2 linked regions of the Rhinolophus ferrumequinum genome follow. The protein of the gene in region 2 binds, or shares a complex with, the protein of the main gene of each other region. Links are inferred from orthologs where the notes say so. Each region holds a gene or a part of one and is shown on either strand. Other genes may lie near its edges.

Region 1 (7,528 bases), on a different chromosome or scaffold from region 2:
GACTCAGCCTGAGGCTCCAGGGTGAACACACCTTAAACAGCACTGAGGAGCACTCAGGTGTCAGACGCTTTTGCTCCCTCATCACCCTGGGGGGCGAGGTCTCTGTTTGGACACTGCCTTCAAGAGAGAAGTCAAGAACAGCTCCCCTTATCGCGATGCCACCATATCAAAAAGCACAAGTGTTGGGAGAACTAGAACTGACATTCTGAATTCTGCCTTCTGGCCCTCCATCTACTGTTAACTTACTGCACTGTTGTGAACAAGCCAAGGAAACTCAGTCTCCTGAGAAGAGTTTGATTAGTAACAAACACACCATATGCCAAATAGGAATAGGATCAGAATGCATGCGAGGATGTCATTTAAATGAGAAAGCAAGAGTATCTTCAAAGGGGGGGAATTTAGCTTAAAATATTTAATTTCTAAGATTGATTTTAGTGATAAAAACGATTAAACTATTTGGGGACTTTACCTCTCTCGTCAGGTTGTTTCCAAAGATTAGGTTTTGTGAAAATTCAAATGAGGCTATTGACTTACTGGAATGAAAAAAAAAAAAAAAGAAAATGTGGGCTTGCCATATGCAAAGATTAAATAAGGTACATGATGGAAACTTTCAATACATTAGTAAATTGATTACTCCAAACGTCATGGAAAGAGGTCTCGGAAACCACACAAGTATGTAATATATATGTTATACTATGCTTACTGTTAAATGAGATTCTCATTTAAATACCTCATTTAAAAATTAGATAATAAAAAGTGACCTGGTAACAGTAGTTTCATTTCTCTCCCAGCTCTAGATTTGAAAATATAATACAGTTGTATTCACAAATGCGCAGCTGCAATACAGCACCTAGTGTGCTCTGTATGGCTTCAGGTGGGCGGTCCTAGTAGACGCCCTTCCCTAAATGAGAAAACTGTCCTAAAGCAGGCCTGGGAACAGCAGGAGAGGGAAGATTACCTCCTGCAGATTTAGAGTACAATTACAGAATTCGAAGCACACACGTTTCCTAAAGCATAGAATAATGGCAGTAATCATGTTTAAATAAAATAATACAAAATTTCATCCTCTACTTTAAATGAGAAAATACCAGTCTTGCCACTCTGAAATAACTCATGTCCCAAAGGCGGGGGAAGAGATACTATCCACTCTGATTTCCTTTGACTGGAACTAGATGGTAAATGTTTTTCAGTGATTTGGTCTTTAAAGTACATAATTGACTTTAAAAGGTGCATAACGAAGATGGAAAACACAAGTTTGATTTTCTGTGCTGGGAGATACTCCCATGACCTTGTAATATTTCTACCTATCAATTCATGCCCAGATGGTCAGGGGCGAACTGGGCTCCACTGTTTCATCAAGTCCACATTTTCCCAGGATCGTGAAATAGCTTCATGATGTTATCAGTTCAAAAGCTCTGAGTCTCCTCCCAGGCCCTTCCCTCCAACACACACACACACACACACACACACACACACACACACACACACACACACACACACCCTTTGCTCAAGCTGCTACAGCAAAACGCCTGCTACGTCGAAAGATGCTCAAAGACTGGGGCTTGGTGTCCTTCATATTGTCCCTGCTCTCCTCTCAGGGCCACCCCTCCCCCCAAATGCCACTCCTAGTTTTTTCAATGCATCCCCAAATTTACAAAGCAGTTGTTAACAGAGATAGGGGTAAGTTAACAATAGAGTGTATATAAACTTGGTGTGTGTTCTTTCTTGAGTTTGTATGTGTTGTGTTAAGGACAAAGGTGTGTGTGTGTGTGTGTGTGTGTGTGTGTGTGTGTGAGAGAGAGAGAGAGAGAGAGAGAGAGAGAGAGAGAGAGAGAGAGAGAGAGAGAGGAAGTTTTATGTTCTGTTGTTCTGTGTATTAACTAGGGAAGGAGTTGAATACATTCCTCTCTTTAAAAATATTTTTCTTAATAGAAACATCAACTCAGAAACTAAGAACCTGAAATTAGTGATAAATATACCCTAGCTTTAGGTGGATGAAATAAAAAGTTCAAATGCCTGTGTACAGGGCAGTTATTCAAATTAGCATCCAAATGGGAGATGGGGTTAAAGGTGTGTCTTTTCAACTTTGGACGTATAATCATTTCTAAACCCATTCCTGGGCTGGCAGGCAGGACAAGGAGTGCTAGATGCTTCGTGTCCGCTGGCACTGGGAGGAACCAGCCCCCATATGGAGTCTAGAAATGCCAGCTAAGAGTCACCAGCCCGCAAGGCGACCAGAGAGCAGAGAAAGGATGGGGAAAGGAGGCCTGCTTGCCCAGGTGCCTTACTTTCCCTCTCTTCCCTACCCAGCCACAGACACACCTACTTAGGCAGGTTTTACAAAGAGTGAAGCCCCTGCCATCTCCTCCAGCTGGTAGCAGGAACACTGGACAAATGCATGCGTGCCTTCCACTCATTTCTGGGCACCCTAAGTCTCCTGACCTGACTCCCCCAAAATATACCTCAATTTGCCTCCGGAGCAAATCAGTTCTGAAAGCAACCGCATCAGGAAAGCCACCAAGGCAGCCAGCGTCTCTCCCGCTCCTACCACCATCATCTGCTGGCGCCTCGAAAAGTGGCAGGAGGCGAAGGAAACTCGATGGGATTCACCTGGGAGACTCGCGCATCCCTTTGCACTTACTTTGAGTTGCAAACGTGCTTTCTGCGCTCAGGCTGCCTTTGTTGTTGAAAGGGGCGAGGTTTGCTGCTGGGGTCCAGGTACCCGAGTCGCTGCGGCTGGCGGCGCGGTTGCTGCTCCTGGCCGGTGACTCACTGGCCTCTTTCTTCCCCTGGCTCCACTTTGGGGTTTCCTCGACTCTGCGACTCCCTTGGCGGGATTTTCGGATTGGAAGGCGGGGAACCTGATCCTGCCTTGGACTCAATTCCGCCCCGCCAGGGAGGGAACGGAAGGGAAGTGGAGAATGGGAGGGCTGAGCAGAGCGGGCTGGGAGAGGACGCAGGCCCCGCGAGGGAGGGAGCGCGCCTTGCCCTCGCGAGCTGATTGGGAAGCTTATTAAAAGCAGAATTCTCCAGGGGCAGGCGCTCCCCGCAGGAGCACGCTCACCGATTTGAACCGAGAGGCCAGGAATGGAACCTGGCTTTGTTTTTAACAGAGATCGACACACTCTTTCTTTTTCCAACTTTCTGCAAGACCTGTTCTTTAGGTGGGTGCACCAGGCCAGTTACTCAAGTGGGGCATCTCAAATGGACGATCGATGGCATTTTAGGTGATAAGATTGGCCCCGATGTTTAAAAAATGATATTCAGAATTTAAAAGCACAATCTTCAAAACCATCCTCTCAGTCCTCCCCTCCCCCAAACGCCCTCCCTACACATAGTTCCAGTGACTTCAGCTGTCAGTCCTGTCCCACCTGCAAGTCACAAAACGTGCAAAGCCCGGTGGTGCGCCTGTCACAGAGTGACAGATGTCTGAGAGTTCCCAATTAAATGCTATTTTCCTTTACGGGGCTTTTTCCTTTTTTGGCTTCCTTGGTGCCTTTGGGGACCTATTTAGTGACATGCCTTTGACACCCAAGAATTTAGGGAATTAATCAATGTAGTTCAAACTCGGCAGTGGGGATAGCGGAGTGGGGTGGTAAAACTCAGAGGCTGGGCTTTAAGGCTTTCTGGAGTTTCCATTTTGTTCAAATGAGGAAAGATGCTTAGGTAATACAGCTAGGATTGTTGAAGTAACACAGAGATGGATATTTATGATATAGATGAGATAAAAGCAGTGTGTCAAATGATTACACAAATTACCCAAACATTGTCAAAAAGTAAAGCTTTTGCGATTTTCTGCCACTTGTCAGGTCTTTCTTTCATCTTGCTCCTTTCACTTCCTTTCAGCTTATCATTTGATGGCACCCACCCCAAAAGTGATGGCAAAATATACTTCTGTTTCCCATAGATCTAAGGTCGCATCCCTTCATTGCAGTTTTACAAATATCTATTAAGTGCCTTGTATAATTCTTTTTCTATTATTTTTTTTAATTTGTATTACAGTTGACATCCACATTGTTAGTTGCAGGTGGACACCATAGCGATTAGACATTTATATAACTTACGAAGTGATCAGTCAAACTAAAGATAACATCTTGAACTCAGTCATGTTTGAGCTCCAGGCCCATGAAGGCAGAAGGATCCTACCGGCCGCATCCCCTCAGAACCAGACAGACAGACGCCACGACTGACACCAGGACGTGATCCCATGATCAATTGCCTCCTACCCAGCCCCGACCAAACAGTAGAGCCCACGACCCCAGCTCCCTTAGGTACCATGACTGATGATCTTTCCCCTGTATAACCATCCCCTAGAGGCCATCGGGGAGCCAGGTCTTTGAGCAGTAGCTCACCTATGTCTCTGGGCTTGGTGCCATTTCCTTAAGTAAACTTTGACTTTCTTTGCTGCAAACCCATGTTCGTGTCTCATTCGGTTTTGATGCACGTAGGCAAACGAACCCCCTTTAGTTCGGTAATAGCAGAAACTCAGTGAGGGGAAGTAGGCATCTAGGCTAGAGAAGTAACAGGCCAGATCACGCTCGGCCTTTGTTCACTGTAAGGAATTCCACTTTTATTCTGAATGAGGTGGGAAGAAGCCATTAAGAGTGACAGAAACGGACTCTGCTTCAATAGGGTCTCTGCTATGATGACTAGAACACAGGCGAGCAAAAGTAGAAGCAGAGATTTCAGTTAGGAGGCTGCAGTTATTCATTGTCTAAACTTCTTCCCCTTGTCCCTGTTTCTTGTAAAGAATAACTAACTCCAAACTTGCCCTTTCACACTTTCTCTGTCCCCGAAACCTCCTGTCAGCAGTTTCTTGGCTTATGCTAAGGCTCCCCTTGTTTTCCAGTTCCCAGCCTCTCCAGGTGTAATGAGCCCCCAGCATGCGTGTTACGAGGCTAAAATATAACTAATGCAAGATGATTTGAAATCACAGAAATTATAACATGTCCTAAGGGTGTTGTGAAAATGAGGTCGCTGATTTTGCAGTGACAAATACAAGGAGAAGTGTGATCAGCATGAAATTTAAAAATGTGAAAGAATCAGATGAAAACTTTGTCAGCATGTCTCTTGGGCTGCCTACTGGCAAGATGTTTAGATTCTTGACTACCACTCCGAGTTTTTCAATATTCCTGGAATGCAAAAGGACAATTCATCCAACTTACACAGCTGGATGGAAGTTCCATTAATACATTTCTCTTCCTCTCTCAGAAATAGTTCAAAAGTAATTAAAAAAAAAACACTCATACTTTTTTTTTTTTTATTGCTGTGACTAGATTACAAAACTTCTATCTTTGGTAATATTTGTAATGATTATGCTATTTTTTATTTAAAAACAAAGAAACAAAACAGAAAATGCCACTAAGAACAGTTTAAATAAGTAAGGAATTTGTCTCACAGCAACACAAGCCAGTAAAGTCAGTGTTTCCAAGTCTTCAAGGACCCAGATCTTTCCATCTTTTGACTCTACATTTTCAATTTGTAAACCCAGGCTCTTCAATATCATTTAAAGAGCTTCACCCATATTTGGCTTAAAGTAAATCAGGCCCAAACCTCCATGGAGACTAGGTCAGTTCCCTGGTCATGGAGCCACAGACTATCCCAGCAAAAGGAAGAGGTAAAAAGTATTTGGGAAGCAACCAACAATGCCGGCCACCATTTCTCCCTGATATTTTATAAATGTACACTTTATCAGTCTTTCTTTTATGAATCTAAGTAGCTTGATGTAAGCCCTTCAATCTTGTCTTTCTTGTACAAAACTGCTCACATCAAGGTTCTAAATTTGCAAGGGCCTCGGACAATGGGCTTACCCAGACTCACCCAGCAAATCAGGCCTAAAATACCCAAAGAAGTTTGATCACACCTTACAAGGAAACAAAATCCACAGACCCAATGTCCCTCCTGAGCATAGAAGCAGAATGCTTTAACAAATTTAATTAAATCAATGCCAGTAATGTATTAAAAATGTAATACTGTACATCATCACATTGGCTGTTTGTCCCTCTGTTGCAAGTCTGGTTGTACACATGGAAAATCAAACAATGTAATTCACCATATTGACAGAGTAAGTAGAGGAACAAAAGGAACATATTAAATATATAGGAAAATATTTGAAAAAAAATCCAACACCCATTCGAGATAACAATTCTCAGTGACTTAAGAATATAAATGAATATCCTTGTTCTGATGAGGCATATCTGTGGAAAGCCTCCAGCTAATATGACACTTAATAGTGACAGTGAAAGCTTTCCATCTAAGATTAGGAACCAGGCAAGAATGGCCACTCTTACCACTTTTATTCAATATTGTACTGGAGATCTCAGCCAGTAAAATAAGGCCAGAAATTAAAAGAAATAAAGGAGGCTGCAGTAATCCATTGTCTAAACTTCTTAGACAATGGAAAAAGAAATAAAATAAATAAAAATAATGGAAGGAAGATGTACAACTGTCTTTATTCTCATATGAATAAGTATGCTCATAGAAAATTGACAGGAATGCAAAGGAAAGCTTCTGGAACTAATGTGCCTTCAGCTAGACACAAGTTCAAATTATAAAAATTGATTTTATGTTTATTTCTAGCGATGAACGATTGGAGAATAAAATGTTAAAAATTATATATCAAACTCATAAACTACTTGAGGGATAAATTTAACAAAATATTTTGAAGGCTTATCCACTGAAAAATGCCAAATATTTCTTACGGAAGTTATAGTACTTTTAAAGAAATGGGAGGCTCATTATGTTCATCAATTGGAAAATTTAAGATTGTTAGGATGTAAATTCTCTCCATATTTATCTGTAGAGTCAATACAATCCAAACCAACCCCTTTAGACTCTTTTATAGAAATTAACAAATTGATACCAAAATTTCTCTGGCAATGCAAAGTATCTCAAATAGGCTAATCATTTTTTCAAAATAAAGAACAAAGTTGAAGGATTCACACGCTTGTATCAGGTCCTGCTGTAAAGAAAAAAGAATGAAGAATATTGTGCAATACTGGCATAAAGATAGACTTATGAGTCAACGGAGAAAAACGATCAATTCACACATAGACTCAAACATATTTCAGAGAGGAAAGAGTAGCCTTTCCAGCGAATGGTCCCAGAAGAACTGGATATCTCTATGGAAAGGAATAAACTTTGACATCATAGTGAAAAATTAACTCAACATGGCTCAGAGACCCAAATGGAAAAGCAAATGCTATGAAATTTCTAGAAAAATAGTAGGAGAAAATCCTTGTTACCTTGGAGTAGGCAAAGATTTCTTAGATAAGGCATAAATAACACCAATGGTTATTAAAACATTGGCAAACTGGACTTCATCAAAATTAAAACTTTGCTCTTTGAAAGTCATCATTAAAATATAATAAGAAAGCAATCCTGAGAATGCACAAAAATATTCTCAAAATACACATGTGACAAAAATTGTGTCCCAGGATATTGAAGGGTCCATATAACTCAATAACCAGAAGTCACTCTATCCAACAAAAAAGAATCACCAAAATGTCGCAACAGACACTTCACAAAA
Region 2 (7,714 bases):
CACCGCCACCCGAATGACCGGATTAAGCAGAAAAAAAGGCCCCAGACACCATGAAGCTAAACACGTTCTATCCCACAGCCACCTTGCGGCGATGGCTTTGGGTCCTGCTTCTTGGGCCCACACTTTTACCTCTGTTTCACCAAAATCTCTCTCTCCTTATCTAGGAGCTGAGGGGACACAAGTGATGCCCCAGCAAGACTTCCAGTACATCCCAACCGAAGAGGTCAACAGGGCCTTTCGAGCCGTCTCGAGACCCCTTCCCCTCCTCGAACATCAGATAGGGCGAGAGTCCCGTGAATCCCCAATACGCAGGGACAATGGCCACAGTCAGCAGGAGGCAGATACAGAAGAGGCAATCTCCTGTCCCTCAAGTTCCCACAGATTTATGGGGATCACATCTCTCCAGGGGGACATAAGGCAGGCAGTTAGAGATAGGAATTGGGTCTCTGAGACGCCCGCCCGAACACATCAGGTAACATTCCTGCACGTCCAACATGGCCTAGGACCGCCCAGACCTCTCCTTTAGCTACTATAACCACCATGAACCACTGGGAGGGAGTTCAAGGATACAAAGCACCCAACTAGATTAAACAGGCCACTCACACCTAGGCCACAGTGACCTTCATTTCACCTGGGCCTCATTATACCATCATTATAATATCATGCATTTGCCCGGAAGTTCATTAATATCATTATAACAGACTGAATTCTGGGAAGGAACATGCACAGTCTAAAAAAATGAGATAATCGCCTCTTGTCAATCACAGGTGTCAATCAAGTGATCCCACACCCAGAAAGGAACAGCCCATTCTGGAGAAAAGAAAAGAAAAACTCCAAGTCCTCGCCAGTCGGCTCCTTTTGAGCCACTGTGTTGCCCGGCCCGATCCCGACCCCATCTCTTTGGAGTGTACTTTGGCTTCTAATAAACTGCTCTCTTACACTGCCTTTTGGTGTCCCGCTCAATTCTTTGTTTGGGATGCCAAGAACCTGGACACCACACTGAGAAGAGTCTGCTCTCCAGTAACAGAAGCATAAAAGTAAGCTCTTTGTGCACTTATCTGGTAAGATTACCGAGCTCTACTAAGAAAACCAAATGCAAAGGACCGTATAGAACAGAAACCAGCAAACTTTGTCTGCAAGGATACTACTATTTCCATAAATATTATTTCTGTAACGGTAAATATTTCAGGCCATGCGGTCTTTGTCACAACCTCTTGATTCTGCCATTGTAGCACCAAAGCAGCTGGAAACAATAAATGATGAGTTGGGGCACAGAGTTGGAGGGGTGGGAATAATAAAACGTTATTTACAAAAATAGGCAGCAGCATAGTTTAAATGTAACATGTGCTACAAATTGTGTGTGGGCTGGGGTTGGGGAAATGTGGACGTCTGCCCAGCAGAGACCCTCTCTGGAAGAATGCACAGAAAAACCCTCCTAGGACGGGAACTGGGGAAAGCAGTGTGGAGGATTTTTCACTGCTAGACTCTTGTGTCTTTTGAATTAAGAACCCTGTCATTGTATGACCTATTCAACACTAGATCAAGGAAAATAAAACAACATCAAGGAAATTACGTTTTCTTTCTGATACGCAGGTCTTAGAGGGAAAGCCTGTGAGACACGCAGCCCTTACCGGGATCCCTCAAACTGGACCACACTCTGCCCGAAGCTCCTTGTGTTCGCTTGAAAGATCTTTGCGTTTTGAGTGTCCAGGTTGAACCCATGACACAAGCCCAAGGCTGGAAGAAAAAAAGGAATGAGGATCAGGTGCCGGTGGGGACGTAGTTAAGAAAGCAGCTTGTCCATCTTCCTGGCAGGATTCACCCTAACCCAGCACAGAGATGTCTGCTTCCCAGATCCAGTTCCAATGGCCTGGGGCAGAGGTCAGTGCACTTTTTCTCTAAAGGGCCAGAGAGTAGATATTTTAGACCTTGGGAGCCAACGACCTTGGGGGACGTAATATAACAAGAGAGAAAATGTGTTTCCAGAAATTTGTCATTAAGGAAATTCAAAATATAATAATTGAGCTCCCCCCCTTTTTTATTTGTAATTACAAATTTGCTAATAAGACCAATGGAATTCTTTGGGGGGGGATCTAACATTTCACTTCATTGGGATTCCAAATTAGTGTGCCCAGTCACAAATCGATTACAAGTGTGCACCTGCAGCCTGTGGTTGCTCTCAGACTGTACAGAAACAGGAGGTGCAATCCCTGCCTCATGCCCCCAGGACAGTTTTGCCACCACTACCACTGGTGCTTCCAGCCCCCCGCCGAGCTCCACTGTTGACCTGACCAACAAACAAGTTCCTAAACCCTCCCAGTTAGGCAATTTCCTTCCTGTGCAACTCACAAGCATTTCTTTTCCTTCTTTGACCCATTTACCACAAGACACAGGCATATAAGGAAGTAATGTCATTATGAGTGGTCAGTCATTCGACAAGCATTCGTACCAGGGTCCTTGAAAAATAGAAGTGGAGGCAAAGTGGACGTGGAACCCAAAAAGAAACACTCAGAAAGGAATCTGGTACTGGCTGCACACCCTGGGGCATGTCATTTCATCTCTCTAAGCCTCAGTTTCCTCATCTGTGACATCAAGGGGCCAACCGAACCCCCTCAGATCAATCGCCCATGAATTTAGCCGTTCACCTGGGCTTCTCTGGTCATGCCATCTTGGGCTAGCTCTGCTCTGCGCTCCTACAGGACTCCCTTATCCCGCCCCAATTCGCTTTATCTCTCCCCAGTGTAACTCCTAGATATTCTACATCCCTTCTAGATATTCTACTTGTGAGTAGAGACTCACAGTCTCAAAAGTTTTCCTCATCATCACGTAAGCCCCACCCTCAGACCCCTGGCCCACCTGTTAACAGAAGGACTCGGTGAATCATAGCTGAAAGGAGCAGGAATCCCGGGGCTGCAGGTGCCACGGAGCCACTTGAAGAAAGCCAGCAAGGACAGAAAAAGAGAACTAGAAAGCAGGAATACATTAGAGGCTCAAAGGAAGAAGGCGGAGGCTCAGAGAGCACACAGCACAGCTTGACCATCCCCCCGGGGCTGCCACAGCTTATGCTTCCTCTCTCCCCAGCGTCCGAGCCCAAACCACCACGGTCACTATTTCAAAGGTGTTGCTTGTTTGTCCACCTGCTTCCAGGGTTGGCCAAAGCATCATGAAAAGCCAGCTGCATAGATGGAAGGGCCTGCGTCCTGGAACATGTACTCTAAACATTAATTCAGACCAAGCAAATGTGGGAGATCACCCTCTGTGTCTCCCTGGAAGCACACTTTACAAAGTCTCTTTCCCCCCTGCCCAAGGAAACAGGAGAACCCTTCAGCCAGAATTGCCCTCCTTTGTAGACTTCAATACGGACAACTCCGGTACAGAGAAACCTAGTACTTTTGGAATAATATTTGTGTTTTTTAAAGCCTCAAACCCTTGGAAATTGCCCAGGAAATTTCACTTTCCAGAAGTTATCCTAAAAAGTCGCTGAGATGTACAGTCGAACATGGACGCCTAAGCTTGTGCTTTGCAGCATTGCTATTAATAGTGAAACATTAGAATGGCCTAAAAATCCAACAACAGAAAAATGGTTGAGCGATGTCTCACCCTGTGATATGTCCTTACCTTCCATCTAGTGACTTCAAAATCTGTTTCAAAGACACAGGAGCATACTTGAAATACATAGAACGCCAAACCATACCTTGTATCCCTCCAGTCCAATGTCAGAAAGCTGAGCGTGCGTTCCAGGAGCAGCTCGCATCCAGCTTTCAGCAGCAAGGGTGGGCAGTGAGACCTCACCCCCAAAATATTGGGGGTAGTGCTCTGTTGATTGCAGCTCCTGATCTCAGAAGTTCAAGCACAGAGGTGAGCAGCCATTGTTGAGCCCATCTCATTTTGAAAGCCTCTCCACCTCTGGCTGAAGCAACTCCCAGGGGATTTAAAGGCTAGCGCTTCCCCCCCTAATAAGTTCTTAAGACCTTAAGATCCCGGGCTGATCCCTGGCACAAAGACAGCCTATAGCAATAAAAATAAAATAACAGCAAACCCTGGGAAAGGAGAATAATCTGATTTTGTATTATTAGATTTGTTTGCCTAGTTTCCAACAACAACAAAAAAATCACAAGGCAATCCAAGAAACCAATTGCCTTTGATTGCCAATCTTTGAAAGCATGGCCCATTCAAAGAAAAAAAAACAAAAAGAAAACATTCCAGAGAAAGACCAGATGGCAGACTTACTAGAAAAGTACTTTAAAGCAACTCTCTTAAAGATGCTGAAGTAACTAAAGGAAGACACTGAGAAAGTCAAGAAAATGATGTACGAACAAAATGGAAATATCAATAAAAAGGATACCTAAAAAGAAACCAAAAGGAATTTCTGGAGCTGTAAAGTACATTAACTGAAATGAAAAATTCACTACAGGGATTCAAAGGCAGGTTTGAGCAGGCAGAAAACTGACTCAGAAAACTTCAAGATAGGACAATTGCAGTTCCTGAGTCTGAGAAATAGAAAGAAAAAAGATTGAAGTGAAAAGAGCCTAAAGGACCAGTGGAACACCATCAAGCTGACCAACGTACACATTGTGGGAATGCCAGAAGAGAGAAAGAAAGTGTCAAAGAGATTATTTGAAGAAATGATAGCCGAAAAGTTCCCAAATTTTATGAAAGACACGAATACAAATATTGCAGAACCTCAACAAAGTCCAAGTAAGATGAACTCAAAGAGGCCCATACCAAGACATATTATAATAAAACCATCAAAAGACAAAGACGGAGAGTCTTGAAAGCAACAAAAGTGAATGACCACATATTAGGGATCCTCAACCTGATTTCTCATCAGAAACTTGGAGGCCGCAAGGCAGTAGGCTGATGGACTCAAAGTACTGGGGGGAAAATATCAACCAAAAATTCTGTATATGGCAAAACTGCCCTGCAAAAGTGAGGGAGAAACCAAGATATTCCCAGATAAACAAAACCTGAGGGAGTTCGTTACCACTAGAACTGCCCTGAAAAAAATGCTAACGGGATTCCTGCTGGTTGAAATGAAAGAACACGAGACAGAAACTGGAAGTTGTATGAAGAATAAAAGATCTCAGTGAAGGTAAATACACGAATTATGAAAGTTAGTATTATGTATTGTAACAATGGTGTGTAACTCCTCTTTTATTTTCTACACGATTTAAAAACTTTTTAAAAACTATTCATTTTTAAGGCATTTTTTTTTTAAAAACGATTAGTCTAAAAGCTAGTAGTATTGTAGCTTTGGTTTGTAACTCCACATTTTGTTTTCTATATAATTTAAGAGACCAATACATTTTAAAAAAACAATTATTCATCTACAGTTTTGGTCACACAATGTATAAAGATGTAATTCTGTGGCATAAATAACTAAAATGAGATGGGGACGGAGCTGTATAGGAACAGAGGTTTGTATGTCATTGAAGTTAAACAGATATAAATTCAAATTAGAACGTTATAACTTTAGGATGAAGTTATAAATGAAAGTTATAAATGAAGTTATAAATGAAATCCCGATGGTAACCATTAAGAAAATAAATAAACAATATACACAAATGGAAATGAGAAAGGAATTACAATGTCTCACTGCGGAAAAAAGAAAAACTAAACACAAAAGAAGACAGAAATGCAGGAAATGAGAGCGATAAAAGTTATAAGGCATGTCAGAAATTAATAGCAAAATGACAGAGGTAAATCCCCCAACCTCTTCCCCTCTGGAAACCACCGATCCAACTCATAGATTCAAACAGTTTATTACTTACGTCGACGGCAAAAACAAATTTCCCACGGTTCTTTGCCCAGCAAAAAGGATGGCATCAGAATAGGGGTGCTATGGGCCGGCCTGGTGGCTCAGGCGGTTGGAGCTCTGTGCTCCCAAGGCTGCCGGTTCGATTCCCACATGGGCCAGTGCGCTCTCAACCACAAGGTTGCCGGTTTGACTCCTCGAGTCCCGCAAGGGATGGTGGGCAGCGCCCCCTGAAACTAAAATTGAACATGGCACCTGGAGCTGAGCTGCGCCCTCCACAACTAAGACTGAAAGGACAACAACTTGACTTGGAAAAAAGTCCTGGAAGTACACACTGTTCCCCAATAAAGTCCTGTTCCCCTTCCCCAATAAAATCTTAAAAAAAAAAAAAAAAGAAAAGAAAAGAAAAGGGAGGCTATAATCTAGACCAACAGACAACGCAGTTTTAGTCTATAGTTCTATTGGTGATGGCCCCAGAGCAGCTCCTCACAGGCACCCGCACCCCCACCCCCACCCCACCCCGTTCTCTCTGTTCTGGGAAGGTCACAGGTATTCTGCCAAACCTCAGACGATCTGTGGTCAAACCTTTGCTTTCGTGGCTGGTGTGGTAGCACCGGGGGCCAGGGCTCCATGGCAGAGCTGTTCCTCCACATTCAGCAGATGGCAACCACGACTTTCCACTTAGTCCCAAAGTCTCAGGAAATCCTAGGGCACTACCTTCTAACCAGCCTCGCTATTAGCAGAAGTGTGGAAGCCACCCCCATGCCACCTGGACTACGGCTTAGCCCTTTCCTGTGCCCCACTGTCTCTCTACTCCGCCCCCGCCAAGTCAGTTTTCAGCACAGTAGCCAGAGGGATCCTTCTAGAACACAAGCCATATATTGTTCCTCTGCTCAAAACCTTACAAAGTCTCCTTGCCTCACGGGGAGCAAGCCAGCCCTTTCCACAACCGATAAGGCCCTGTGAGACCTGCCACCATGGCCTCCCTGAGCTCATCTTTTCTTTGACCCCTTGCTCCTTCTATTCCAGCCATGCTGGCCTCCTTGAGGCTCCTCAGACATGCCAGGAACACTTCCATCTTAAGGCCATCACACTGGCTGTTCCCTTTGACTAGACTGTTTTTCCCCAGGTATCTGCATGGCTCACTCCCTCTCACCTCCTCCAAATATGTGGGTTTTGTATCACAGGACTCTCTATATTCAACTTCACAAACCCTTTCTTGCCATGTTTCTTCTCCCAAATTTCTCTGGCTTTGCCCTCAAAATAATGAAGGTGGTAGGGTCTCCGTCATCTCCCTTTGCCCCACGTGGCACCCAGGATCATGACTTCTCTCTTCCCAACACAATCTCCCAGACCCACCTGTCCGAATCTCTGTCCCTTGGCTACACAAACAATTTACCTCTGTCTCAATACCTCCAATTTGTTTGACCCACACACGATCTAGCCCCCTGGGAAGTACAAATAACAAAATATTGTTTTTCCATTACACCGAATTGCCAGTCAAGTTTTCACCCGAATATCCTTCTCAGCAATCTAGTTAAGGCTTTGGGGTGATAAAAGTGAACTGGCATCTTAAAATGCTCAAACCACAGAGCTGTGAGGACTATGGGTGGAGCTGGGCCCCTTGTTGACTCTTTGATCCTGACTTCCGGTTGGACTTTGTGGTACCTTCCGGGGGAGGGATGCTAATAAATAGAATAGCTGTCTTGGAACCGGGTTATTCTTCTTCACGTGGGCAGTCAGCTGGAGCCCCAGGTGGGAGGTGTGTATTCCCGCACTGCAGAGGTGGTTTTTGTTTCTTTTTCTTTTCCCGAATAAACCGCTCTTTGGGTGGATTTTCTGGTGAGTCATTTTTGCCAGTCGACAGGAGTCTGGGGCCAGACTACAAGGGGGTTAAAATCCTACCTCTGTGATTCTTGAGGACGTGATTCTCTGTATCGCACTGTCTTCATCTGGAAA

The links.
Region 1: the proteins of ITGAM (region 2) and PTN are in contact, whole or in part, in an NMR structure (PDB 8VOH), measured with the Homo sapiens proteins. The link is inferred for Rhinolophus ferrumequinum from reciprocal best matches to the Homo sapiens genes ITGAM and PTN. Residues at the interface, in NP_000623.2 of Homo sapiens: Pro273, Asp276, Arg277, Gly279, Val280, Ile281, Arg282, Tyr283, Lys306, Pro307, Arg309, Asp310, His311, Ala334, Ile335, Glu336, Gly337, Thr338, Gln339; in NP_001308315.1 of Homo sapiens: Val56, Pro57, Thr58, Ser59, Asp61, Cys62, Gly63, Leu64, Thr66, Glu68, Thr79, Lys81, Thr82, Gln83, Arg84.

What each region holds. Positions count from the first base shown.
Region 1 is NC_046309.1:11,293,358-11,300,885, reverse strand, and holds the start of PTN (pleiotrophin), read right to left. Parts: upstream 3,020-7,528; 5' UTR 2,642-3,019; intron 1-2,641.
Region 2 is NW_022680357.1:178,818-186,531, forward strand, and holds the start of ITGAM (integrin alpha-M), read right to left. Parts: upstream 3,009-7,714; 5' UTR 2,984-3,008; coding exon 2,857-2,983; intron 1,738-2,856; coding exon 1,632-1,737; intron 1-1,631.